3 linked regions of the Arabidopsis thaliana genome follow. The protein of the gene in region 3 interacts with the protein of the main gene of each other region in a pairwise test. Each region holds a gene or a part of one and is shown on either strand. Other genes may lie near its edges. The genes, in order: RACK1C_AT, RACK1B_AT and MEKK1.

Region 1 (4,421 bases), on a different chromosome or scaffold from region 3:
AAAAGGGGGTTTGTTTGTTTTCTGGGAATCAGCAAAAATCACGAAATGGTTGGTTTAATATTTCAATCGGGATAAAATCGATCGAAAATGAGTCAGCCTTCTGTGATTCTTGCTACGGCTAGCTATGATCACACCATCCGATTCTGGGAAGCCGAAACTGGTCGCTGTTACCGTACCATTCAGTATCCTGATTCGGTTTGTTTCTCTCTCTCTCTCCCTTGATTTTGTGAATTCTGAGTAATTAATAAAACTGAGACAAATTAATGTTTGTAATTGCAGCATGTAAATAGGCTTGAGATAACCCCAGATAAGCATTATCTAGCTGCAGCTTGCAATCCTCATATTCGACTCTTTGATGTCAATTCCAATAGTCCTCAACCTGTAAAACTCCTCTCTTTTTTTCTCAATGTGGTGTTTGCTTCCTTCTACCTGCTTGAGTGATCTTGATGGAGTCGTCGTGTGTATTAGGTGATGACTTACGATTCACACACCAACAATGTTATGGCAGTAGGATTTCAATGTGATGCAAAATGGATGTATTCAGGATCAGAAGATGGCACAGTTAAGATCTGGGACTTAAGGTATATCATGTCATCTTCATCTTTAGCTAAAAGTTTATAGATTTATTCAAGTGTGGATTCTGGGAAAGGATAAGGAGATATTGAATATAAAGTTACGAAAAATACTAAGAACGTTCTAAATTGTATTCTTGTTGACTCGTAAACCAAAATGCAGGGCTCCGGGTTGCCAAAAGGAGTATGAAAGTGTTGCAGCGGTTAATACAGTTGTTTTACACCCAAATCAGGTACATGAAGTCATCTGTTATTGTTGTGCTGTGGGAATCAGCTTCGTTTTATGTTTAAGAGAGTTGTTGTATTGCTACTGTTGAAACTGCTGTGATTTTGGTAGTTGTCTCAGCTGTTATTATGAACTATTTCCTTAGTCTTTATTATGAACTTTGTTTTTTTTTTTTGTACAGACTGAATTGATATCTGGAGACCAAAATGGAAATATACGTGTATGGGATCTCAGAGCAAATTCGTGTAGCTGTGAACTGGTAATTGCCTTTGACACGTCTTCATTTCATTTCTGAAAATCCGTAGATAATCACTTGAGGTTAACTATAGGTACCAGAAGTTGATACAGCTGTACGGTCTTTAACTGTTATGTGGGATGGGACAATGGTAGTCGCTGCTAACAACCGTGGAACATGTTATGTATGGCGCTTGTTGCGTGGAAAACAGGTAGTGTTCCTGATATGCAAACCTTTCTTTTGTTTAACCATGTTGTAGTCGCATTACTCTAATTGTCCATGCCATTTAAAAATTCAAAATCTTTTACAGACAATGACAGAGTTTGAGCCCCTTCATAAGCTGCAAGCTCATAATGGCCACATCCTTAAATGTCTCCTCTCTCCTGCAAACAAGTAACATGTTTCTTATACTTTCTCTTTTAACCGTTTTCTTCATCCTCTCCTTTTCGAAGCTCTTACATATTTGTTAGCAGATATCTAGCGACTGCATCATCTGATAAAACTGTCAAAATATGGAACGTCGATGGTTTTAAACTAGAGAAAGTTTTAACAGGTATGTTCTCCATGTTACTGTCAACAGCATTCATTCTCCATTATCGTCTCTTACACTATCATCAAATCTTATATAACAGGACATCAAAGATGGGTTTGGGACTGCGTCTTCTCAGTGGATGGAGAATTTCTTGTAACAGGTACTAATCTCTGTCTTAACTTAAACCACTGAAAAACATATCAGAACAATCTTTAAACGGGTTTCTATGATGTTGTACAGCATCATCGGACATGACGGCTAGATTGTGGTCGATGCCAGCAGGCAAAGAAGTGAAAGTGTACCAAGGTCATCACAAAGCCACTGTGTGCTGTGCACTTCACGATTAAAACCTTAATAAGAATCAAAGCTAAATTATGAACAAACTACGATTGTGTTATTTGTGTTTTAGTAAACTCTTGTACATTTCAATCGAATTCGTTCAAATTGCTCTTATGTTCCCTCTCTGATCAAACATTTCTCAACTATATCACAACAAAAATGCTCCAACAAAATTTATTTCAGAAGAGGCCCATTTATACCTGACTCGGAAACTCCGGCCCAAATGAGCCAGTCTCCTCGCAGAAACCACACTAAACCCTAATTTGATTCATTTTTAGACCTAGAGTATAAATACCAAACATTTCAATCGACCTCGTAATCTCTCGCTCTGTTACGCCATTTTCGTGAGTAAGAAGAAGAAACCCGAAAACCTCAAACCATGGCCGAGGGACTCGTATTGAAGGGCATTATGCGCGCCCACACCGACATTGTCACGGCCATCGCTACGCCGATCGACAATTCCGACATCATCGTCACAGCGTCGCGTGACAAATCCATCATCCTCTGGAAACTCACAAAGGACGATAAGTCTTACGGTGTTGCTCAGCGTAGGCTCACAGGTCACTCTCACTTCGTGGAAGATGTTGTTCTCTCATCGGACGGTCAGTTTGCACTCTCCGGAAGCTGGGACGGTGAGCTCCGTCTCTGGGATCTTGCCACGGGAGAAACAACTCGTCGATTCGTTGGTCATACGAAAGATGTGCTCTCTGTTGCATTCTCTACTGATAACCGGCAGATCGTGTCTGCTTCTCGTGATCGTACGATTAAGCTTTGGAACACACTTGGTGAGTGTAAGTATACCATCTCTGAAGGTGATGGTCACAAGGAATGGGTTAGTTGTGTTAGGTTTAGTCCTAATACTCTTGTACCAACTATTGTATCTGCTTCTTGGGATAAAACTGTGAAAGTTTGGAATCTCCAGAACTGTAAGCTGAGGAACTCTCTTGTTGGTCACTCTGGTTACCTCAACACTGTTGCTGTCTCGCCTGATGGTTCGCTATGCGCCAGTGGTGGGAAAGATGGTGTTATCTTGTTGTGGGATTTGGCTGAAGGAAAGAAGCTTTACTCGCTTGAGGCGGGTTCGATTATTCACTCGCTTTGCTTCAGTCCTAACAGATACTGGTTGTGTGCTGCTACTGAGAATAGCATTAGGATTTGGGATCTTGAGAGCAAGTCTGTTGTTGAGGACTTGAAGGTTGATCTCAAGTCTGAGGCAGAGAAGAATGAAGGTGGTGTTGGAACTGGTAACCAGAAGAAGGTACGTCATTATCTTATGATTTCACTATAGTAATTGGTTCTCTATTGATAGGTTAGTGAATGCACCAAAAGTAGTGATGAAATTATCTTTGGTTATGACAAAAAAAAAGTGAAATTTTGGTTAGAAATTGCATGTAGGAAATCTTTTCCCTTACCCATTAGCTTTGAAACTAGGAATTTTATTCTTTAAATGTTGCTCTGCTCCAAAGGTTTTGACTTTGATGTTAACATATAGGAAGAGATTGATAATGGTATCTAATGGGAATGTGTAATGAAAATGCAGGTTATCTACTGCACAAGCTTGAACTGGAGTGCAGATGGAAGCACATTGTTCAGTGGTTACACTGATGGAGTTGTCAGGGTCTGGGGTATTGGTCGTTACTAGAGACACAACAAGATGAAGAAGAAGTCACGAAATCTCCGGAAAAAAGTTTAGCTGCTTTTAATTTTTCCAGACTGCGTCAGTATTGTATTAGTCTCTCGCAAACCTCTATTTTGGCAATTTTTGTTTAATTTCCAGAAGAGAAAAAAACAATCCATTGATTATCATATCACTATATATCAAAAGGTCACGATTTTGATTACACTTACCTTCGTGATCTTCCGATTGGTCTTATTGAGGTTCAATCTTCACAATTCATCCCTATAATATATCACTCTTATCTCTTTCACCGGCCACATTACAAGCCTATTAGATTTCTAAAGCCCATGATTGGCCCAATTCAGTTAGGGTGGGTTTCTTTGTCTTCAAATTTGTAACCACCGGAAGCAGAGGAGAGTATCTTCTGAAGCATTAACCTAACTTATTTATGATCCTTGAGATGATGATGGCCAATCTTCCAAGGGATTTAGTGAACCTTGTTACGGATACGTACAGTATGAACTCTACTACCTCAAGTCCTCAACTCCTCTAAACCACGGATGAATATTACTATCCCTAACATTAACTCTGCGAACTGGGAGATACAGTTTTCTGCACGTGGCGTGTCTCTCAAGGGAAATACTCAACAAAAGCATCTCCCTGAGTTCTTACTCTGTTATGATTTTACAAGAGAGATATTTGGACCCCCTCTAAGTCTACCGTTTCACTCTTTTAATGAAGATACTGTGACTCTATCTAGTGTTAGAGATGAGCAACTTACAGTGTTATTTGAGAGAGATGATACATTACAGATGGAGATATGGATTACGACTAAGATTGAGCCCGAAACAGCGTCGTGGAGCAAGTTGTTCTTAGCGGTGGGTATGGAACCACTAACT
Region 2 (4,492 bases), on a different chromosome or scaffold from region 3:
GACAAGCGGCCGTGGCTTTAAAAGGTAATCTGGAACTATATCAAAGAAAGATAGGTGATTCCAGAGTATTAGTCCACAGATAGGTCAAATGCATAATCGTTATCGCAATTAAACACAGCTACTAGAGACATAATTATACAAGTTCTTAACAGAACAACCAGTGAGTTTCCCCGAGAAATAGCTTGTTGGGGATGAGATAAGCAAAGTACACTGAATCATACTTGCGAGCAAATGAGAGCAGTAAAGAACATGTGCAGTATCGTTTAATAAACAGCAAATTCTCCAATACAGAGAAGAGGGGAAGCATATTATCTTACAAGTAAATGAGAGCTGCCAAGAGCTCGAGCGGTGTCAACATACAAATGTCTGCCTAAAATGTTGACTTGAACCCTAATGTATAAGCTAAGCATTGTCACAGACCACAGAGACAAAACCATCCTCGTGAAACCTGGCAAATAACATGAATATACAGGTAAGAAACAGAATTTGATAGAGTAAGAGTAGGTGACTGCAGTGCATACTCAAAATCTTGAGCTCATCCCAGAGCTGAAGTTTCTCAGGTGGACTCAGCATTCCTTTCCCTTGGTTCAGTCTGTCCATAACATGAGAGACATCGATCTCCTCGCTGATACGGATACTCAAAAACTGCATTGCGTGAGGCAGTGTGGTCGAATCCACAATCATCTGAATACTCTCGAAATGTGCTTTCATTCTAAACAAGAGTACAAACAAGACAGGTCCGTTAGAGAATCCATAAGAACTGAAGTCTAAAGGATCAGTTTTTATGAGCACAGAACTTAACTGGGTTTTGATGATTTCGTCATTTTCACGCTCGTGAGCGAGTTCTCGTTCCAAATCAGCAAGCCTACGAGTATGGGAATTGTATAGTTTGTAGAGTAAATACCCACTTCCCAAACAACCAGCCGTCACCAAGACCTTCCTTCTATGCTTCCTCCAAAAACCCCTAATTTATTCCACAAGGTATTGAATCAATTAAAAACCCTAACTTTATTCACCAAAAACCCTTCCTAAGGAATTGGAATTAGTGTGCTAGAGAGAGAGAGATAGAGAACGCAAAACACTAAATTTCGAATTTTCACGAAAACAGTAAGCAATTACAAAGAAAGATGAAGCGAACAAGAACCTAACGAAATCCATGGCTGGTGAAGCTTTTACTGAAGTCGAACCCAGAGATACATAGCTGAGAAAACACGTAGAAAGATGAAGATTCCCGAATTGATTCGTTCGGTTTGAAAAGGAGATAACTTTGCAGGCGAGAGAAAGAGATGGTTGATGTGATCGATTTCAATTTAATCAATCACTTCATCTTTTTCTTCTCCGGAATTCGGACATGTAAAATTATATCTTCCACAGGGACAGTCGAAGTTGTGTTCTTAGTTCTTACAATAAAAGTTGAAATGGCCAAACTCGGTTTGTTTACTTTAATTGAACCGACTTTTGAGTCTATTTCAATTTTTGACAATAACTTCTCGGTAGAGTTCTCATGGGGTTTGCCCAAAAGAGAGAAAAAAAAGTTGTCATGTCATGTACTCATGTGGTTATCAAATTGACTTGTAACAAGCTATACCAATTCTGGTTAAGCGTTCCAAACAGAAAGATATAAATCTCGGTTCCATAATTGTCCCAACATGAAACCAAGTTGGGTAGAATACCGGGCCTTAATGCTGGCCCAAATGAAGAGACCCAAACTATTGACAAATGAAAACAAAGAACCCTAATTATCTCTAACTATAAATACTCTCGGTTTCTCGTTACCTCCATTTTGCCCTCTCCCATTTTTGTCGCCGAAACCCTAAATCTCGACCTCAAACCCTGAACCATGGCTGAAGGACTCGTGTTGAAAGGCACAATGTGTGCCCACACTGATATGGTCACCGCCATTGCTACACCGGTCGATAACTCCGACGTGATTGTAACTTCGTCGCGTGACAAATCAATCATCCTCTGGAAACTCACAAAGGAAGACAAGTCATACGGTGTTGCTCAGCGGAGGATGACTGGTCACTCTCACTTCGTTCAAGACGTTGTTCTCTCCTCCGATGGACAATTCGCTCTCTCCGGATCTTGGGACGGTGAGCTTCGTCTCTGGGATCTCGCTACCGGAGAATCTACTCGTCGTTTCGTTGGTCACACGAAAGATGTTCTCTCTGTTGCTTTCTCTACCGATAACCGTCAGATCGTCTCTGCTTCTCGTGATCGTACGATTAAGCTTTGGAACACGCTTGGTGAGTGTAAGTATACCATCTCTGAAGCTGATGGTCACAAGGAATGGGTTAGTTGTGTTAGGTTTAGTCCTAATACTCTTGTGCCAACTATTGTATCTGCTTCTTGGGATAAAACTGTGAAGGTCTGGAATCTTCAGAATTGTAAGCTTAGGAACACTCTTGCTGGTCACTCTGGTTACTTGAACACTGTGGCTGTGTCACCTGATGGTTCGTTGTGTGCCAGTGGTGGCAAAGATGGTGTGATCTTGCTTTGGGATTTGGCTGAAGGGAAGAAGTTGTATTCTCTTGAAGCTGGCTCTATTATTCATTCACTTTGCTTCAGTCCCAATAGGTACTGGTTGTGTGCAGCAACAGAGAATAGCATTAGGATTTGGGATCTCGAGAGTAAGTCTGTTGTTGAGGATTTGAAGGTTGATCTTAAGGCTGAGGCTGAAAAGACTGATGGTTCTACTGGAATCGGAAACAAGACCAAGGTATCTATTTCTCCTCACTCTATCTTATGGTTAATTGTCTAGTTCTAAGTTCTGTGAATTAGTTAGCCGTTGCCTTAAAAGATGAGATTTTCATAAAGGAAGGTCTGAATACTCTCATGTGAAGTTAGTTCACAAGATTTGATTGGTACGTAAGAGAGTAGCTAACATTAGATTGAGAAACCTGGTTTTAAGTTAGCTCTAGTCTCTGATTTCTTAGATTGTAGTGTCTGAAGTGATTCCATATTGATTTGTTGGTTACTCTTTGGTCTGAGGTGGTTTATATATGTTCTAATGTGGAATGTAAAATGCAGGTGATCTACTGCACAAGCTTGAACTGGAGTGCAGATGGAAACACTTTGTTCAGTGGATACACTGATGGAGTTATCAGGGTTTGGGGTATTGGTCGTTACTAGAGAGACAAGAAGTTTCTTTATTCTCTCCAAATTTTTCCATCGACTCTAAAGTCTTCTCTTCTGAATTAGTGTTTTGAGGATTTATTTTTTGTTCTTTTCTATTTTCAGAATCCACAAATGTGATATTTTGATACATTGATTTTGTTTCATATTTGTTTTCTTACACTGAGTCTGAGTACACGGCGTAGAATCTGATTTGAAGTTGTTACTTGTATCCTCTAGAAAGTAGAAATGGCTTTAGGTTGATGACTAACTGTATAACAGCAAGAATTTTTTCTTAGGAATCTGAAAACTTCAAGGAGTTATTAGCCTTTACTTTTCCAGTGGTTACATCTTAACTACAACACGAACCCTTTCAAAAGAATCTCTAAACACCAATGCACCAACCAGTTTATCTTTTTGTACTTAATGATATTTGGTTTTCCATCTCTTACTCTACCAAAACTAAGAGTAGTCTAAAGTGTAGGCGACAAGGCCATATGTTATACGAATTCTCAGTTAACATGAACCGAATATAGCCCATATAGAATAGTTCTTGACCCAGACGCTTACCTCCATACGGCACAGAGTCTCTGATAAATGGGTCTTATTAGCATTAATTTTGTGTGTAGCCAAAGGTTGAAACTTGAGAACTTCTTCATGCTCAAAAACACCAAATGAGGTAAACCATGCACGAGTCAATAGTCAATAATCAAAAGTGCAATCAAGATTGTTTTCACTGCTTTTCCGAAGAAACCAAGACCCCCTATGACATGTTTCAGCATCATAAGCCGCTCAACAAAGCAATGCTTAATTGCTCTGTAAAATTTTTCATATTTCTTATCTTTTAGATATTCTACACCCAATACCCAAGTCCACGTATATAACAAGATCTTAATTAGGCTCCGTAGGCTTCGACAACATGTCCATTTTATATCATGCTTTTTTTTGTAGTCCAAATAAGCTAAGGTTGATCAAGAATGGAACATCAAACTACTAAAACTATAGATCGTTTAGCTCTGCATGATTTAGAGAAACCGCAGCAAAACTATTTCTATCGTCATTAGATGATATAATACAACCTTTTGCACTAATTTAGGCTTTGCAAATTTGAGAAAAAGAAATATAGACTTTATTATATTCTGTTTTGTTAACAAATTAGGCTAATCTACCTCATATTGGTTACTCGGATACTTTCTTCTCAAATGCGACAAGTCTCAACATGTTTCGATCAAATAGACGTGTTTCTATACTGCTTTGATGTTTTTTTATGTTCCCTGGTGCAGTTTCCTTGATTTGGACCGAACTTGGAACATAAGAGAAAACATGTCGCCTACGATATGGTTCTGCATGTTCTCCAAGATCCAATTCTCTAAAGTAC
Region 3 (6,392 bases):
AAATAGTTAATCAACATTAATATTTCATTAACATGGTACCAAATTGCCTAATTATAATGTCAATGTGTCTGAATTTTAAATATATTACCAAATTATACATTAAAATATTAATATTTTGTTATAGTATTTATTTGAATAAAGAAATTTAGTATTTTCTTCCTATAAAAGGATGACTAGGAGACAAATTTTTAGATTTTTAAAATAAAAGGCTGACTCTTCCAGAACTAAATATAGATATATTATTTATTAATTAAAGGTTACTAAAGTGAAGTCTAAGTGATTTGGTTTAAGAATTTTTGTTTAGAATTTACAATTTTCAGTTTAGTTTTAGATAATTTTGTTAATTGGATATTGACATTTTGTTTGTAGCCAGAAGTTGTTGTTTTTAAAAGAAAAGCTTTATTTTTGCTACCCAATAATGATGAGAAGAGATTACATAAACAAATTAAAATCAATACATGATACGAACTAATCTAGCTAAACGATTTACTCAATAACTTCACCCAATTCGTTTCGAAATCTAAGCAATATATCCCTCAAAAAATCATAACTAACATAACCAACATAAGTGTTTCCAATTTTGAGCGAATGAGAACAAACTTCTTCCCTGACACTTAACTCTTCGTAAGATGATTAAAATAATATATGATTATTGCTTCTTCACACACACGATCTCTAAAGCAATTTACCCATTAAATCTTTATATCTATATATAAAAATAAGTTTGATACATTACTATGCTCTTTGATGGGCAAAAGTAAAAAAAAATTGCTTTGATTTTGTAGACGAGTTTTGGGCATGCAATTTTTATTTACATCTTTTCAACAAAAACAATTAAACAAAACAAAATTTTGCTTAGACATTGTCCATGTTAAAGTTCAAAAATTGTACGAAAAGTAAGCGGTAGAAAATTTTGCTCTATTTAGGTTTATCGAAGTAATCTTTCTATTTGTTATATGTTGTATAATTTATAGTAATATGTTTATTTAGTTACAATCTTTTCGTAGGTTAACTATATTACTTCTAACTTTTGTATGTTTAACAGATTTTTTATTTACCTCTATCAAAACCCTGCAAAACACACAATCAAACTCGCAATACTCTACTACATCGATTAACTAATCCACGACACTTATTTTCTTTTGTACTTAAAAGTTAAAAATATATTAACACGTCCTATAGTAAAGCGGTGTATGCCTCGTCCACGGATTCTAAAGTTTACACATGTTTTAAGTTTAACACCTTAAAACCATCTAAACTCTACTTTTTAAAAGGGTTTTATGCAAAAAAATCCTCAAACTCGTCTATTTTTACAACTTTATTCTTCAGATCCAAAAAATGCAAAATATCATATGAATTTCAAAATAATACACAATATAGATTTTTCGTTACTATCAAATTTTAAAATTTTGATAAATAATATATTAAATCGGAACCTCGAGATGAAGAGTTCAAGTATATCTTTAAAAGTTTTAAAAACAAATGTATGTAATCGTGAAAACATTTACAATATATATAAAATTGCAAAATAGGCTATTTTAGATTTCATAAGATTATTTTGTATTTTTTAAAACAACAAACTCAAGTCTACATAATTAATATATTCAACTCAAAACTCCAAACTGAAAGCTTAAGAAGCCCAACAATTGTAAGCCCAATTAAAAAGCCCAGTAAGTGAACGCGTAAACAAAAAAAGTAAAGACTCTCATGGAACAATCAAAAACGCCGAAACAATGCTTCGTCTCCGATTATTCCACGAAACACCGCGTTTTTGTTTACATTTCTTCTCTTTCTCTCTCTCTCTTCTCTCATATCTCTCTCTTCGCCGTCAGGTTTTGCCCAAATTTCTCGGTCTTCTTCACTCCCGCGAGTTTTTTTTCTCGGGAAAATTTTCCAATTCCAAGCTCCATTGAAGCCAAGTAAGAGGTGCGATTCTCTTCAATTTTGACTTGGAACTTGTAAATAGCGTATGGATTTGAGCTGGTTATGGACAGAATTCTAGCTCGTATGAAGAAATCAACTGGACGAAGAGGAGGAGATAAGAATATTACTCCGGTACGGCGGTTAGAGCGTCGCGATGCGGCGAGGAATATCAATTACGACGCAGCTTCATGTTCTAGTTCGTCAGCTGAAGATCTTTCCGTTTCGACTTCTTCGTTGATGACTCGCTCTTTGGAGTTTCCGGAGCCTACTAGTTTCCGAATCGGTGGTGGTGTTGGAGAGATGGATCGGATTTATCGGTCTCTTGGTGTTTCTGGTCCTGATGATTTGGCTATTTCTTTTGATGCTTGGGAAGCTTGTAAGAAACGTTCTTCTTCAGATGTTGTTAATAGGTTTAAGTCTTTTGATCTTGATAAGGTTCGTGATCAGGATTTGAGTGAAGAAGGTCCTAGTGGTGTTGTTGTTGGTTCTGATTCAATGAATCATAAGGTTCAGGGTCAGGATTTGAGTGAAGCAGGTCCTAGTGGTGGAATTGTTACTGAGTTGAGTGAGATTGGGAATTTAATCACTCCTGTGGATAGGTTAGTAGCTGATGGTGTGGTAGAGAATAGGCGTGTTATGGAAAGAACACCAACTATTGTGAAGTCGAAAGGGTATCTTGTACCAAATAATGTAGTGGCTGTTGGTGTTGGTGTTGGTGGTGGTATTAAGGGGCTAAGACCACCAGTACTTAAGCCTCCTCCGGCTATGAAACGACCCCCTATTGATCATCGGGGATCGTCTTGGGATTTCCTGACGCATTTCGCTCCAAGTGAAACAGTTAAGCGGCCGAGTTCCTCTTCTTCTTCTTCCGAGGATGGATGCGATGAAGAGGAAGGCAAGGAAGAGGAAGCGGAAGCGGAAGAGATGGGAGCTAGGTTTATCCAGTTGGGGGATACGGCTGACGAGACGTGCTCATTCACTACAAATGAGGGTGACTCCTCAAGCACAGTATCCAATACTTCGCCTATCTATCCAGATGGAGGAGCTATCATAACGTCTTGGCAAAAGGGTCAACTTTTGGGACGAGGATCATTTGGTTCTGTGTATGAAGGCATTTCTGGGTAAGTCTTACTGGTTGCTTGTGTTTGTTGAACTTGAAATCAGATACTTAGTCGCATGATGTTTTAAAAAAGTAGACACTCAATGAGGAATACTACAGTAGTCGGCTGACAAATGTGGTCCAAACGAGTCTTCCATTATGCGTTTGGCTAATGGATGTTTATGTTATATGTAGAGATGGGGACTTCTTTGCTGTCAAGGAAGTTTCACTTCTTGATCAGGGAAGTCAGGCACAAGAATGCATACAACAACTTGAGGGGGTATGGAAATGGAAGTTTCATATACATGGGTCAATGATCCGTAGCATTTATCACTTCTGTCATTATCTCATGGAGCAGTCAAAAGTAGGTTGCTAATCCACCTTACCTTTGCCATATTTTTCATTTTCTACAGGAGATTAAACTACTTAGTCAGCTTCAGCATCAGAATATTGTGAGATATCGTGGCACAGCCAAGGTGTGGTCCTGTTCTCTCTTTCTTTTTCTTAGTTGCAGTTGCCTAACTATTTCATTGTGCAATAATAACTCATTTCGCTGTTTTCAGGATGGGTCAAACTTGTACATTTTTCTTGAGCTTGTAACCCAAGGGTCCCTTCTAAAACTCTACCAAAGATACCAGCTTCGGGACTCTGTAGTCTCCTTGTACACTAGACAGATTCTTGACGGTTTGAAATATCTCCACGATAAAGGTTTTATTCACAGGTTAGACTAGTAAACTCTCTTGGTACAGCTGTAATTCCCAAGCATCTATCTAATTTCCTGCATCTCATGGGTTACTTATTTTTATCATTTTATGCAACAAAGGGACATCAAATGTGCAAATATATTGGTGGACGCTAATGGCGCCGTCAAACTTGCAGATTTTGGATTGGCAAAGGTTTTTTTCCATAAATAGATATTTATAGCTTTGCTCTAAAGTAATTACTTGGTCCATCGTTTAGTACCCTGATATGTTTGTCATTTTTTTTTATTTAGGTTTCAAAGTTTAACGACATTAAGTCCTGCAAGGGAACTCCATTTTGGATGGCTCCAGAGGTATGGTTTTGGGAAACTTTCCCAGTGATTTACATTAATAGAAATGTTCTGGTCTGGGCTTTATAACCTCAAAAACTCCTGGTTATGTTTGCTTCAAATATTTGGTGAAATTTTCTTTATATCAGTTAATGGTTTTTGATAATTGTAAGTATGTATGTTAATCGTACGTAACAGATGTGGATTCATTTCACTTTCATTGTACTTGAGGCTATACTTGTATGGTTATATCTAAATAGAACATAATCATTTGATCAGGTTATTAACCGAAAGGATAGTGATGGCTATGGAAGTCCAGCTGATATATGGAGCCTCGGGTGCACTGTGCTGGAAATGTGTACTGGTCAGATCCCCTACTCTGATCTCGAACCCGTAAGTCTTCAAGATTTTCAAACTTTTGAACTGTCTTAATAATCTTAAACGACATTTGAAGTGTCTACTTTATGGGATTTTATGAGTTAAAAGTCAGAATTTGTGCAAACGCGCAGGTTCAAGCCCTGTTTAGGATCGGAAGGGGTACTCTTCCGGAAGTACCTGATACGTTATCACTAGATGCTCGGCTTTTCATACTTAAGTGTCTTAAAGTGAACCCGGAAGAGCGGCCAACTGCAGCTGAACTGCTGAACCATCCATTTGTGAGAAGACCCTTACCATCCGTGGGTTCAGGAGGCTCGGGATCAGCATCTCCCCTTCTCCGTAGATGAGGCTAATTTTAGTAAATTTCCTCAATAGGTGAAGTATTTAGTTGCTTTTTTCATGAGGATATTATCAGAATCAACAAAAGCTATATATTCTTCTAACATTGATGTCCTAATGTACAAAAGCAGGCATAACCCGAAGATTTATGAGAGATTAGATCCCAGAGAAACTATTGGGAGACACGAGACATGATTCTTCGACACACACACACGTGCGGTCGGGTTGCGCAGCAAGAGCCAAACTTACTTAGTTTCTGTGTCATTCGTTGGTTATTTGTTGCAAGTTATGTGTTGGGCTTGATTTTAAAACTGAAGAGCCTTATTTTTCTAGGAATTAGAAATGTCGACCTTGGGGTTTTTGGGTGTATAGGTTTTGTTTAGTTTTTTTTGTTAAATTATAGTGTATGTATGTCTGTATCTATATCATGTAATGTATAATTATAGTTGGTTCTTATAGTTCCTGGCTTGTTGTAACTGTGTACACACATCGATGGGTTTAAGTTCTATTTGTCTCATATTTTAAAGAAATCTGCTGCTCTAATCATCTATTAAAAAGTATAGTCAAGATATTTTCTATAATTCAGGTCAAAGCCACTTTAATTGAAGTCTATATAATTCAACTTGTTTTTTTTTCTTTTACAATATTGCCCGTTGAAAAGTTATTGGAAATGATGGATTTATAAAAAAATTCAAAAGTGACCAAAAAAAAAGATAATCGAAAGAATTTTGGCTTTGACCATTTTCAACGGGGATCTAAATGCCAGGAAAAAAAATACACAAGATACCTATACTTGGGATTATACCAAGTTTGGAGTACGACTAGATAGAATATTTGTTAGATTCGCTTTGATCCGTTATTCTACTCAATTTAATTATAATTTTCTAATCACCTAATTAATTATTTGAACTACTAGTTTTAACATTGAAAAGAGAAATATAAAATATTACTATTTTTGATAAAATTTTACTATTTTTGGATTAAATTTTATATTTTTATATTTTTTTAAAATAAATATTTAACAAATCCGATATATGATAATTAAATGGTTTAGATTTTAACGGATATTCAAAACCACCGAATATTTGGTCTCTCTCAAAGCAAATACAAAAAAAAAAAAATAAGTATTCTGATAAAGCAAATCGAATCACAAACAACACCAAAATCCCGGATATCTGCTCTCTGCTCAGCCCTAATTCGGAGGCTATACTGTCAATTCTGGATATTGGGTGCTCACACAGGTTATACAAAACAAGAATAGTCTCCAAGAGGTTTCATAGCCAAGTCTAACCCTATTTTGACTCTTTACGTTATTTCTCGTGTCTTTTTAGTGTCTTTTCAGGTATTTTATGCAATAAGACAATATTGGAGATAAGGAAACATTTTGTAGCAAAAACTAACGAAAAGGAAGCTAAGGACGACTTTGGTTCAAGAATCAGCAACGAGTGTCGACCGACACACTCTTGGTGTCGATCGACACTAGTTTCGGCCCAGCAAAAACCCTAGACGCTTTCGAGTTTCCAGAAGCTCAACTTTGTCCCAGAAGATTTCCCTATTTGCATTATTAGTCCCTGGACGTTTTTAGGGTCTATATATATTGTTTTTAGACCTAAGTTTCATTTA

What was found.
Region 1: the proteins of MEKK1 (region 3) and RACK1C_AT come close enough for resonance energy transfer, tested with the Arabidopsis thaliana proteins (one study listed by BioGRID).
Region 2: the proteins of MEKK1 (region 3) and RACK1B_AT come close enough for resonance energy transfer, tested with the Arabidopsis thaliana proteins (one study listed by BioGRID).

The regions. Positions count from the first base shown.
Region 1 is NC_003074.8:6,210,234-6,214,654, reverse strand, and holds RACK1C_AT (receptor for activated C kinase 1C), read left to right. Parts: upstream 1-2,103; 5' UTR 2,104-2,283; coding exon 2,284-3,162; intron 3,163-3,444; coding exon 3,445-3,546; 3' UTR 3,547-3,777; downstream 3,778-4,421. Other genes in the region: LST8-1 (Transducin/WD40 repeat-like superfamily protein), read left to right, coding at 88-195, 280-381, 469-581, 736-805, 980-1,057, 1,128-1,244, 1,344-1,426, 1,507-1,586 and 2 more; AT3G18120 (F-box associated ubiquitination effector family protein), read left to right, coding at 4,083-4,421. UniProt on the Arabidopsis thaliana protein: Minor component of the RACK1 regulatory proteins that play a role in multiple signal transduction pathways. Involved in multiple hormone responses and developmental processes.
Region 2 is NC_003070.9:17,980,617-17,985,108, reverse strand, and holds RACK1B_AT (receptor for activated C kinase 1B), read left to right. Parts: upstream 1-1,731; 5' UTR 1,732-1,840; coding exon 1,841-2,719; intron 2,720-3,030; coding exon 3,031-3,132; 3' UTR 3,133-3,473; downstream 3,474-4,492. Other genes in the region: PEX3 (peroxin 3), read right to left, coding at 1-35, 140-210, 318-448, 522-712, 803-964, 1,145-1,158.
Region 3 is NC_003075.7:5,402,657-5,409,048, reverse strand, and holds MEKK1 (MAPK/ERK kinase kinase 1), read left to right. Parts: upstream 1-1,728; 5' UTR 1,729-1,986; coding exon 1,987-3,044; intron 3,045-3,217; coding exon 3,218-3,302; intron 3,303-3,435; coding exon 3,436-3,498; intron 3,499-3,585; coding exon 3,586-3,743; intron 3,744-3,845; coding exon 3,846-3,918; intron 3,919-4,016; coding exon 4,017-4,076; intron 4,077-4,331; coding exon 4,332-4,445; intron 4,446-4,561; coding exon 4,562-4,777; 3' UTR 4,778-4,805; intron 4,806-4,900; 3' UTR 4,901-5,378; downstream 5,379-6,392.